2 separate regions of the Mus musculus genome follow, and region 1 is reported to be linked to region 2. The links are microRNA targets in miRTarBase. Many come from high-throughput screens and were not tested one by one. Region 2 holds a microRNA gene; the other region holds the end of a gene's coding sequence.

Region 1 (4,067 bases), not on the chromosome of region 2:
TGCTGTTTGTTGAGATGGAGTAGTCCATAGATACCTCCATGTAGCCCAGGCTGGCCTTGGACTCCTGCCTTCCTGCCTCAGTCTAGGATTACTAGTGTGTGCCACCACACTGGTTCTGCTGTTGCTATGAGACAGGCTCTTGGGATGTCTGAGTCCAGTCTGGCCTCAAACCTGCAATCTTTCTGCATCTGCATCTAGCAAAGATGCTCTGAACTTCTGGCCCTGCCCATGTCTGGACTCATCACGATGTGATTTAGAAAATCCTAGTTTTAGGTTGCCTACCTAAGCCATGGAGATGCTATGCCTCTTATTATAGCCTCTCATAGATATACGGCAGGGAAATTACTTGCCTGGGATACTGCCAAGCAGGACAGAGCTGGGACTGACCCCCCAGGGGTCTAAGGCTGATAGCACTCCCTGTCCTATAAGCAAAACCTCATGATGTGATTGTTTGGGAAGCACTAACTACAGATCACCTGTCATTCAAAATGGAATAGTCCTGTGGGAGCATCCCCAAGGTTGTGGACATGTCCACTATCTATGACAGTTCCTACACTGAGCATGCCCAAAGTGAGCTGTGTGGTTCAGGGCCTGGGGCTCATCTACTAAGACAGCAGAGAGCCAGACCACTCTTCACTGTGGTCTGCCCTCATGTCCAAGAGGGAGCTGGATCTCTGCCAGGATGGGGAAGCCATGCTTGCCTGGCCCGGGGCTGCACTGTGCCATTGTGCCTTCACCCACACATGGCCACCTGTAGAGCTGCTGCCACAGCGGGAGGCTCACTTTACTTCTTGCTCTCTTATTTTAAAAAACATCAGGGCTGGAGAGATGGCTTAGTGGTTAAGAGCACTGGCTGCTCTTTCAAAGGTCCTGAGTTCAAATCCCAGCAACCACATGGTGTCTCACAACCATCTGTAATGGGATCTGACGCTCTCTTATGGTGTGTCTGAAGATAGCCACAGTGTACTTAGGTATAAAATAATAAATAGATCTTTAAAAAAAGAAAGAAAGAAATATCTTCAATCACCTTAATGAACTAAAAACCAGTCTTGCTCACCAAAAACAAAGATGGACAAAAAGATAGATTTAGTGAGACACAAGCAAAGCATAGACAGGACTCCAGCTCATTTTTACACAGGCATTAAGACCAGCTACAGCCAAAAGAAAAGAAAAGAAAAGAAAAGAAAAGAAAAGAAAAGAAAAGAAAAGAAAAGAAGAGAAGAGAAAAGAAGAGAAAAGAAAAGAAAAGAAAAAAAGAGAAAGATAAGTCGGTCAACAACTGGAGGAGAGACCCTAGGTCCTGCGAAGGTTATATACCCCAGTATAGGGGAATGCCAGGACCAGGAAGCAGGAGTGGGTGGGTAGGGGAGCAGGGGGAGGGGGGGAGGGAATAGGGGATTTTCTGAGGGGAAACTAGGAAAGGGGATAACATTTGAAAGGTAAATACAGAAAATATCTAATAAAAAAACACAAGAAAGAAAATATCTAATAAAAAATTAAAACAAAAAAGAAAAAAAAAAGAAAAAAGAAGAGAAAAATAAGGTGGTATGGTACATACCTTGGGAGGCAGAGGCAGGAGGATTTCTGAATTTGAGGCCAGCCTGGTCTACAGAGCAAGTTCTAGGACAGCCAGGGCTACACAGAGAAATCCTGTCTCGAAAAACAAAACAGAACCAAACCAGACCAGACCAGACCAGACCAGACCAGACCAGACCAGAACAGAACAGAAGAGACAAGCTGGAGCCAAGGTTGTGTCCACTGAGTGCTCTTCCTGGCTGGTCTGTGGCTAGTGGTATCCTGTGTGTCTCAAGCTGGGATAAGGACCCAGGTACACACATCGCAAACTCTGAACCCAAAGCACAGGGGCTGTGGAAGGAGCATGTGGAGGCATTTTTTCTGGGTTGTTCTGGTGCCCTTGGAGCCTTTCCTGTCCAGAGCTTTTCCCACGAAGTACCCTGAGTTGTGGGACCCGGAATGGAGTCAGGAAACAGTGAGCAGATTCTCTGCTGTTGTTACCCATGGGCAGCATAGATAAGCCATTGAGAGCTCAGACCTTGGTTAAATCATTCATTCAACATTTATTGAGCGCCTACTGTGTGCCAGGCACCGTGCTAGGCGCAGAAATACAGAGATGCATAAGATACAGTCCATGCCCTTAAGGATTCACAGTCTAGAAGGGGAGACAAACATGTAAACAAGTAAAGTACGGTGTGATAGGTGCCACGAGAGAAGCATTTACAGGTGCAGAGGTAGCCTGGAAGAGAGGGGTGAAGGGTGCCTTCCTGGGGGAGGGGCCTGGGAGAGGCTAACAGGTGTTTGCCAGGCAGAGGAGGCGGCAGGAGCGGGAAGGCATTCCAGCTGAAGAAACCGCATGAGCGAAAGGCACAAAGGCATGAAACTGCGAGTGTCTTGGGGCCGGGAAGGCTAACTAGTCCGGTGGTATTGCTAGAGTGAGTTCCAAAGGCTGTGCCTGGAGAGGGCAGCCGAAGCCAAATGAGAGGGGAAACTGAGGCAGGGGCATCTCAGAGGAACAACAGAGGGCACTGCACAGCCCAGTGGAAGGCTCTGACACAGAAAGATGTGGCTCCTGGCTAACTCACCTAAGGTGTGCTTGCAAAACGACCATAGTGCTCCTGTGGCCACAAAGGGCCCTTGACCTGAGACCAGAGGACAAGCAGATCTGGAGGGGGATGAGCAGTGGGGTATGGCCAGGCCTGAGGTCCTGGAAGCTGCCACTCACTGGAGCTTCCTATTCCCAGACCTCTGCTATCTGCACACTGACAACAAGAGGGCCCTGGGATCCAGTGGGAAATGACGTGGGAATGAAGGTTTTTGGCAAACTGCAAAGAGCCGGATGAGTACCAGGCTGGAAGAAAGTCAGCCTTTAATGACTCAGAGAGGAAAGGGGGTGAAGATAGAGCAAGAGAGGTTAAGTGAGACAGCAGGCAGGCAGGAATTCCTAAGAACAAGGGCGGAAAGGAGAAGCAGGTCTCTGAGGCAGACCACAGTTCACTCTCCCCTGGGAAGGCAGGCAGGCCCTTATGACCCGGGACAATGGCAGACCCAGAACAGATGTGCGTGGTGTGTGGCTCTGTGTGCCATCATCCTTTGACTCCCTGGCCTGAAGCAGAAGATTCCTTGGCAACCAGGAACCTCTCTCTCTGGCCTTCAGGACATCCACTGAGGCAGGGATGGGCCAGAACCAGGCTTCCAGTCCTTAGGTGTTCTTAGGAATGGCTCTGCCTGGCAATGTCTTAGCAAGGTAGGTAGGGTGGGACTTAGAGTCTCAGTCACCCAGAGTCTGGCTGCCCTGGTTGATGACCACTTTCCCAGGCACCACACGTTAGATCATTTTTGGGGTGAGCTTCCCCTACAACCCTGCATGGGGGAAGGTGGAAGATAGACTAGCCTGGTCAGGACTCTCTTCTCCTGGGTTCTAGGGCTCTAGTGGTGGTGTGGCCTCTGGAGCAGGAGCCAAATGCAGCCTTCATGATCTGGCGATTGGTCCATGAGTGGGGGAGGGGAGGCAGACCCTCCAAGGTAGCAAAGTCTGGAGACGTTTCAGTTGCTTCCTTCCTCTTACCCTAAACACCACCTGTACTGTGTGGGGTCTCAGCCTCCCAGTGCTTCCTCCTCTAGGTCCCATTGCCTGGGCTCTGCCCTCCCTGGCCAGTCTGGAGGATTAGTGCTGCCTAGGGCACCAATGGTGGTGGTGGTGGTGGTATTAGTGATGAAGAGGATGGTGAAGTGTGGGTGGTGGGTGGCCTCCCCTCTGCTGGGAGACCCTGGATTGGGGTGGGCGAGGGTTATTATTCACTTGCTTTTATGCATGTCCTTCAGGCGGCGCAGCTCCTCCAGGAGCTGGGCCCGGGAGCAGCCGTCATCACTGGTGGGGCCTGGCCCTGGCCCCAGAGCCTCCTGTAGTTCCAGGCAATGGGTTCTCAGGAATGGGTTGTAGGCGCGTTCCTCTCCCAGGGTGGATGGGCACTGCAGAGCAAGAGGCACAGGGATGGGTGGGTGGATAGAAACTGGAAATGCAGGGATGTCTGCCTACCCCATCCCACCCC
Region 2 (4,067 bases):
GGTAGAAAAGATCAATTTAAGTGAATTGAAATGTTTGCCTTTGTGTGTGTTTGGAGGTACTTTATTTTTTTCCTTCATTTCATTCTTAGGGAGCTGTTTAGTTAGCATGAATAGGTGTCATTATCAAGAAGGCTATACTAGTGTGTTCATCTTAGATGAGTTCTGGCAGACTGTAAGATAATGCCCTTCTTCGTTAGGAGGGTTTATTATGAAGTTGGTAGTTGGCAAGAAGGGTGGATTGGAGATTTGCATTTCAGTGGCTTGGGACCATGACAGATACTAGGGAAGGAAAAAACAGAACATTTCCATGACTCCTTTTGGCCCTTTGCTTCAGATGTGGGATCGAGAGGTTGCTGAGGAGTTTTTGAGTTTGTTTGCTTTTCCTTGTTATGCTATTGTCAAGGATTTATAGTACGTACCTGTTTAGTTTTTCCCCAAATTCTGCTGTTAAAGTTTTACTTTAGCAGGCCACAGGATAACTAACCAGGGCTATACAGAGAAACCATGTCTTGAAAAACAAACAAATTGGGCTGGTGAGATGGCTCAGCAGTTAAGAGCACTGACTGCTCTTCTGGATGTTGAGTTCAAATCCCAACAACCACATGGTGGCTCACAACCATCCATAATGAGAAACAGATAATAATACTTTTAAAAAACAAAAAACAAAAACAACAAAAAAACCTATGGACTGGAGTGAGTGGGTCCCGGGAGCAAGTGGGGCCCAGGAGCAAGAGGAAGAAGGGAAGGGGGGAAATGAATGAATGAATGAATGAATGAATGAATAAATAAATAAAGTAAGAAAAACAAATTTATCATACCTCTCACTTCAGCCATAAAGTGATCTATTTTTAAATACATTTCAAAAATTACTTTCCCATATATACTTAACTATATCACTCACTTGAGCTTAGTGGTTTTGTTTTTGTTTTTTTAACCTTAAAACTTTCAATAAAGTACACAAATCATATGGGAGAAAAAGTGTTGATTTTTATTATTCAAAGGAAGGGGAATAATATCAGACTTGAAGAGAAAGTCCACTTGTGACATTCTTTTCAGCTCTGTGTTCACTACCTACCTATAGTAAATTCAGGCTTGAGTATTCAGGCTCAAATTCGGATTAAACTATTCATTAAGCAGTGCAGTTTTGATTTCTAAACTAAAACCCATAGGTAACATAAAAATCAAGCGACTGGATTATAAGTGCCTGTAAAAAGAAAAACAACAACAACAACAACAAACAGTGCTTAGGGCCTTTAAAAAGATCATACAAGTGAATGATGGGCTGACCTTGTGGACCACAGAATGCCAGTTGAGACTGCTGGCTTTGTCCTGAATTAGCCAGAGGATGGTGGTTTTACAACTTTATGGAAGCTTTGAAACCAGAACAAGCAGAAATAGTGGTGAGTAGGGCTCAGATGTCCTGGCCTAGAGCACGAGATATGTGTATCTCTTTCGTTGATTTCTGTCCAGCAAGTCTGATATAAATTGAGCTGTTCTTATTTTTAGCTCTAGACAAACCTAGAGATTTTTAGTACAGTCTAAAAGTCATCTCCTTGGGCTGGGGCATAGCTCAATGGTAGAATACCTGTCTAGCTTGTGTAAAGCTCTAGGTTTAATCCCAGACACTGGGACTAGGGGATAGGAGAGGATCATGTCCTTTTACTTGAAGGATAACAGCCAAAAGAACTAGATTCTTCCTAGGCCAGTTTTTAACTTTGTTTTTCTTTGTTACAGAGGAATGATATTGCCATGGCAATTACAAAATTTGATCAGTTCGACTTTCTCATCGATATTGTTCCAAGAGATGAACTGAAACCTCCAAAGCGCCAGGTGAGCTGGGAGGATTTGCTCAGCTGCCACCTCCAGGGCCTGGGCAAGATGCTCTCCGGAGCTCCTCCCTCCCTCCCACCCAAAGCATTTCTTGTTTGTGGTTCTCTTCCGTAGTCCAGATCATCCTCAGCATCTCCTTCTACTCATTTATGGGTACTTTTAACTCAGTGCCTCTGGGGTGGGGTTGCAGTGAGAGAACAAAGTTAAAAAGACTAGTCACAGATAGTGGGGTGAAGCTCAGTTCAGGATTTCTTCATCTAAAATAAAAGCTTTTTCAGCCAGTCAGTTTTCAGATTCTAAGAAACAACCTCTTTGTGCATAGTGATCAGATTGGAGCCAGTGGCTTTTATTTTCTTACTCTATGCTGTGTCTCTGTAGTGTGATGACTCTACCCATCATCCACTGAGTCAGAACCTATGACCCCATGACCCCAGGAATCAATAATTAAAGTTCCCTAGATGCTTTGGTGTCCAGTGAAGTTTTAGAACCACCATTTACATTTTTCTTTTTAATTACAAGAACTAAGTGTCTGCCCTTCTTCTGCCTGTTCATCTCCAAAGATCACACCATTTGTTTTGTTCAGCACTTGGGTGCATATAACTTAGTTGTGATTGTGATAGACCCCAGTCCTATAGAGCTCATTGTTTCAGGCACGCAGTTTGCATGATTCACTAGGTTTAGTGTAATATGCCTCAGAGAAGTAAAGCCATACCATGTCCTGCTTGTTTTATTTTTGTTCATAAAATATAAGTGTTTTTAACTAATTATTTTGTAGTATACTGTTTAGAGTCATTTAATGACAACCATTCTCCCCATGTTGACCTGTACAAATAACCAGTCAGAAAACCTGTTGGAGAAGTGGGCATCCTAATTGACATTAATTCTGACCCTGCATGAGGGTTTTTGGGTTAGCAAGCCCTGGGTCACCTCCTTATGGGAGCAGGTTGTGCCTCACTGAAGCTCTTTATTTTTCTGGGCAGTCTTTGCTACTGTAAACATCCTTGACTGGAAGCTGTAAGGTGTTGAGAGGAGCTTTCAGTCGGATGTTTACAGCGGCAGGCTGCCACAGTCGTCCCCGGCTGCGCTCATCGGCTTTGAGACATTGCAGGTTTGTGCCCATGAACTTGTCTCCTTTTCTTGGGTTACTTCCTTTCTCTCTGAGAAGTCACAAGAACTCAGACTGTCTCTCTTCGTTTGGAGCTGATAATACCATGAGCCTGTTTTCCTTATTGGATTTTTGCTCCCATGTATCCACCAGGAGTTTCCTTTAAAGACAAGGTGGTAAGATCTGTGATGCAGTCAGGCATTGCTCTTATTGTACTGATTGTTCACTATGGGCTGCCTGCTGAATAGATGACTAAAGAGAAAGTTATTATCCTATACCAGTGGTTCTCAGCCTTCCTAATGCTGCACCATTTAATACAGTTCCTCATGTTGTAATAACCTCCCAACAATAAAATTTTTTTCATTGCTATTTCATAACTGTAATTTGCTACTGTTATGAATTTTAATGCAACTATCTGTTTTTCAGTAGTCTTAGGTGATCCATGTGAAAGGATCTTTCCATCCCACAAAGGGGTCACAACCCACAGGTTGAGAGCTGCTGACCTATACCTTCCTCCAAAGTTGTTTGTTCTTCTGGGTCTGTCAGGGTGTTAGATTTGCTGGTGGTCTACCCCATCTCCCTCTTTTGTTCTTTGGTTTGGTTTGGATTTTTGAGATAGGCTCTCCCTGTGTATCCCTGGCTAGACTAGACTGTGTAGACCAGGTTGTTCTGGAACTCGGAGAGATCTATCTGCTTCTGCCTCCTGAGTGCTGGGATTCAAGGCATGGACCACTATACTTAGTCCATCTCCCTTTAAAAGGTATACAGCAAGAACACTCCTTTAGCTGCCTGGTTTTAGTTCTTTGTAGGTGTTTGAGCTATTGATTGGCATCCTATTCAGGACAGCTGCTGCCTGGCATTTAAAAGGTTGAGATTGCTGAAAGCTGGCCTGAAATTCTAAGATAGCATTTTTTAATTCTCTGTAGACATGAAGTTTTCCCAAGCTCCAAATTGGCTGGCACCTCCTAAAGTCCTTTAAAAGTGCCTACTCTCCAAAACACACCCTCTGAAGGAGGCAGCAGTTCACCCTGCCACTAAAGCAAATGTATTTTTTCCCCTAGTCTGGAGCTGGCTGCTCATCAGTGTAGTGATGACCCTGTGCTGTGATACTGTTTGTTCACTGTCACTGTTT

Evidence for each region. Region 2 holds the annotated microRNA mmu-miR-30e-5p (UGUAAACAUCCUUGACUGGAAG, at 2,821-2,842, shown strand). A microRNA usually pairs through its seed, bases 2 to 8, with sites in the 3' UTR of a target mRNA and lowers its output. Matches are read on the target gene's strand: a 7mer-m8 pairs with bases 2 to 8, a 7mer-A1 pairs with bases 2 to 7 and ends in A, and an 8mer does both.
Region 1: miRTarBase lists Pnkd as a target of mmu-miR-30e-5p. Seed matches in the 3' UTR shown: 8mer at 2,190-2,197.

Annotation. Positions count from the first base shown.
Region 1 is chr1:74,351,678-74,355,744 of GRCm38, reverse strand. Pnkd (paroxysmal nonkinesiogenic dyskinesia) reads right to left here. Exons shown (of 10, transcript NM_001039509.1): 10 at 2,053-3,987. The coding sequence ends at 3,814. Among named protein-coding and RNA genes, the nearest start is that of Catip, 8.4 kb to the left of the region's middle.
Region 2 is chr4:120,771,435-120,775,501 of GRCm38, reverse strand. Mir30e (microRNA 30e) reads left to right here and starts at 2,805; the gene lies at 2,805-2,896. Nfyc (nuclear transcription factor-Y gamma) reads left to right here. Exons shown (of 10, transcript NM_008692.4): 5 at 1,735-1,830. It overlaps Mir30f (microRNA 30f), which reads right to left and starts at 2,896; the gene lies at 2,805-2,896.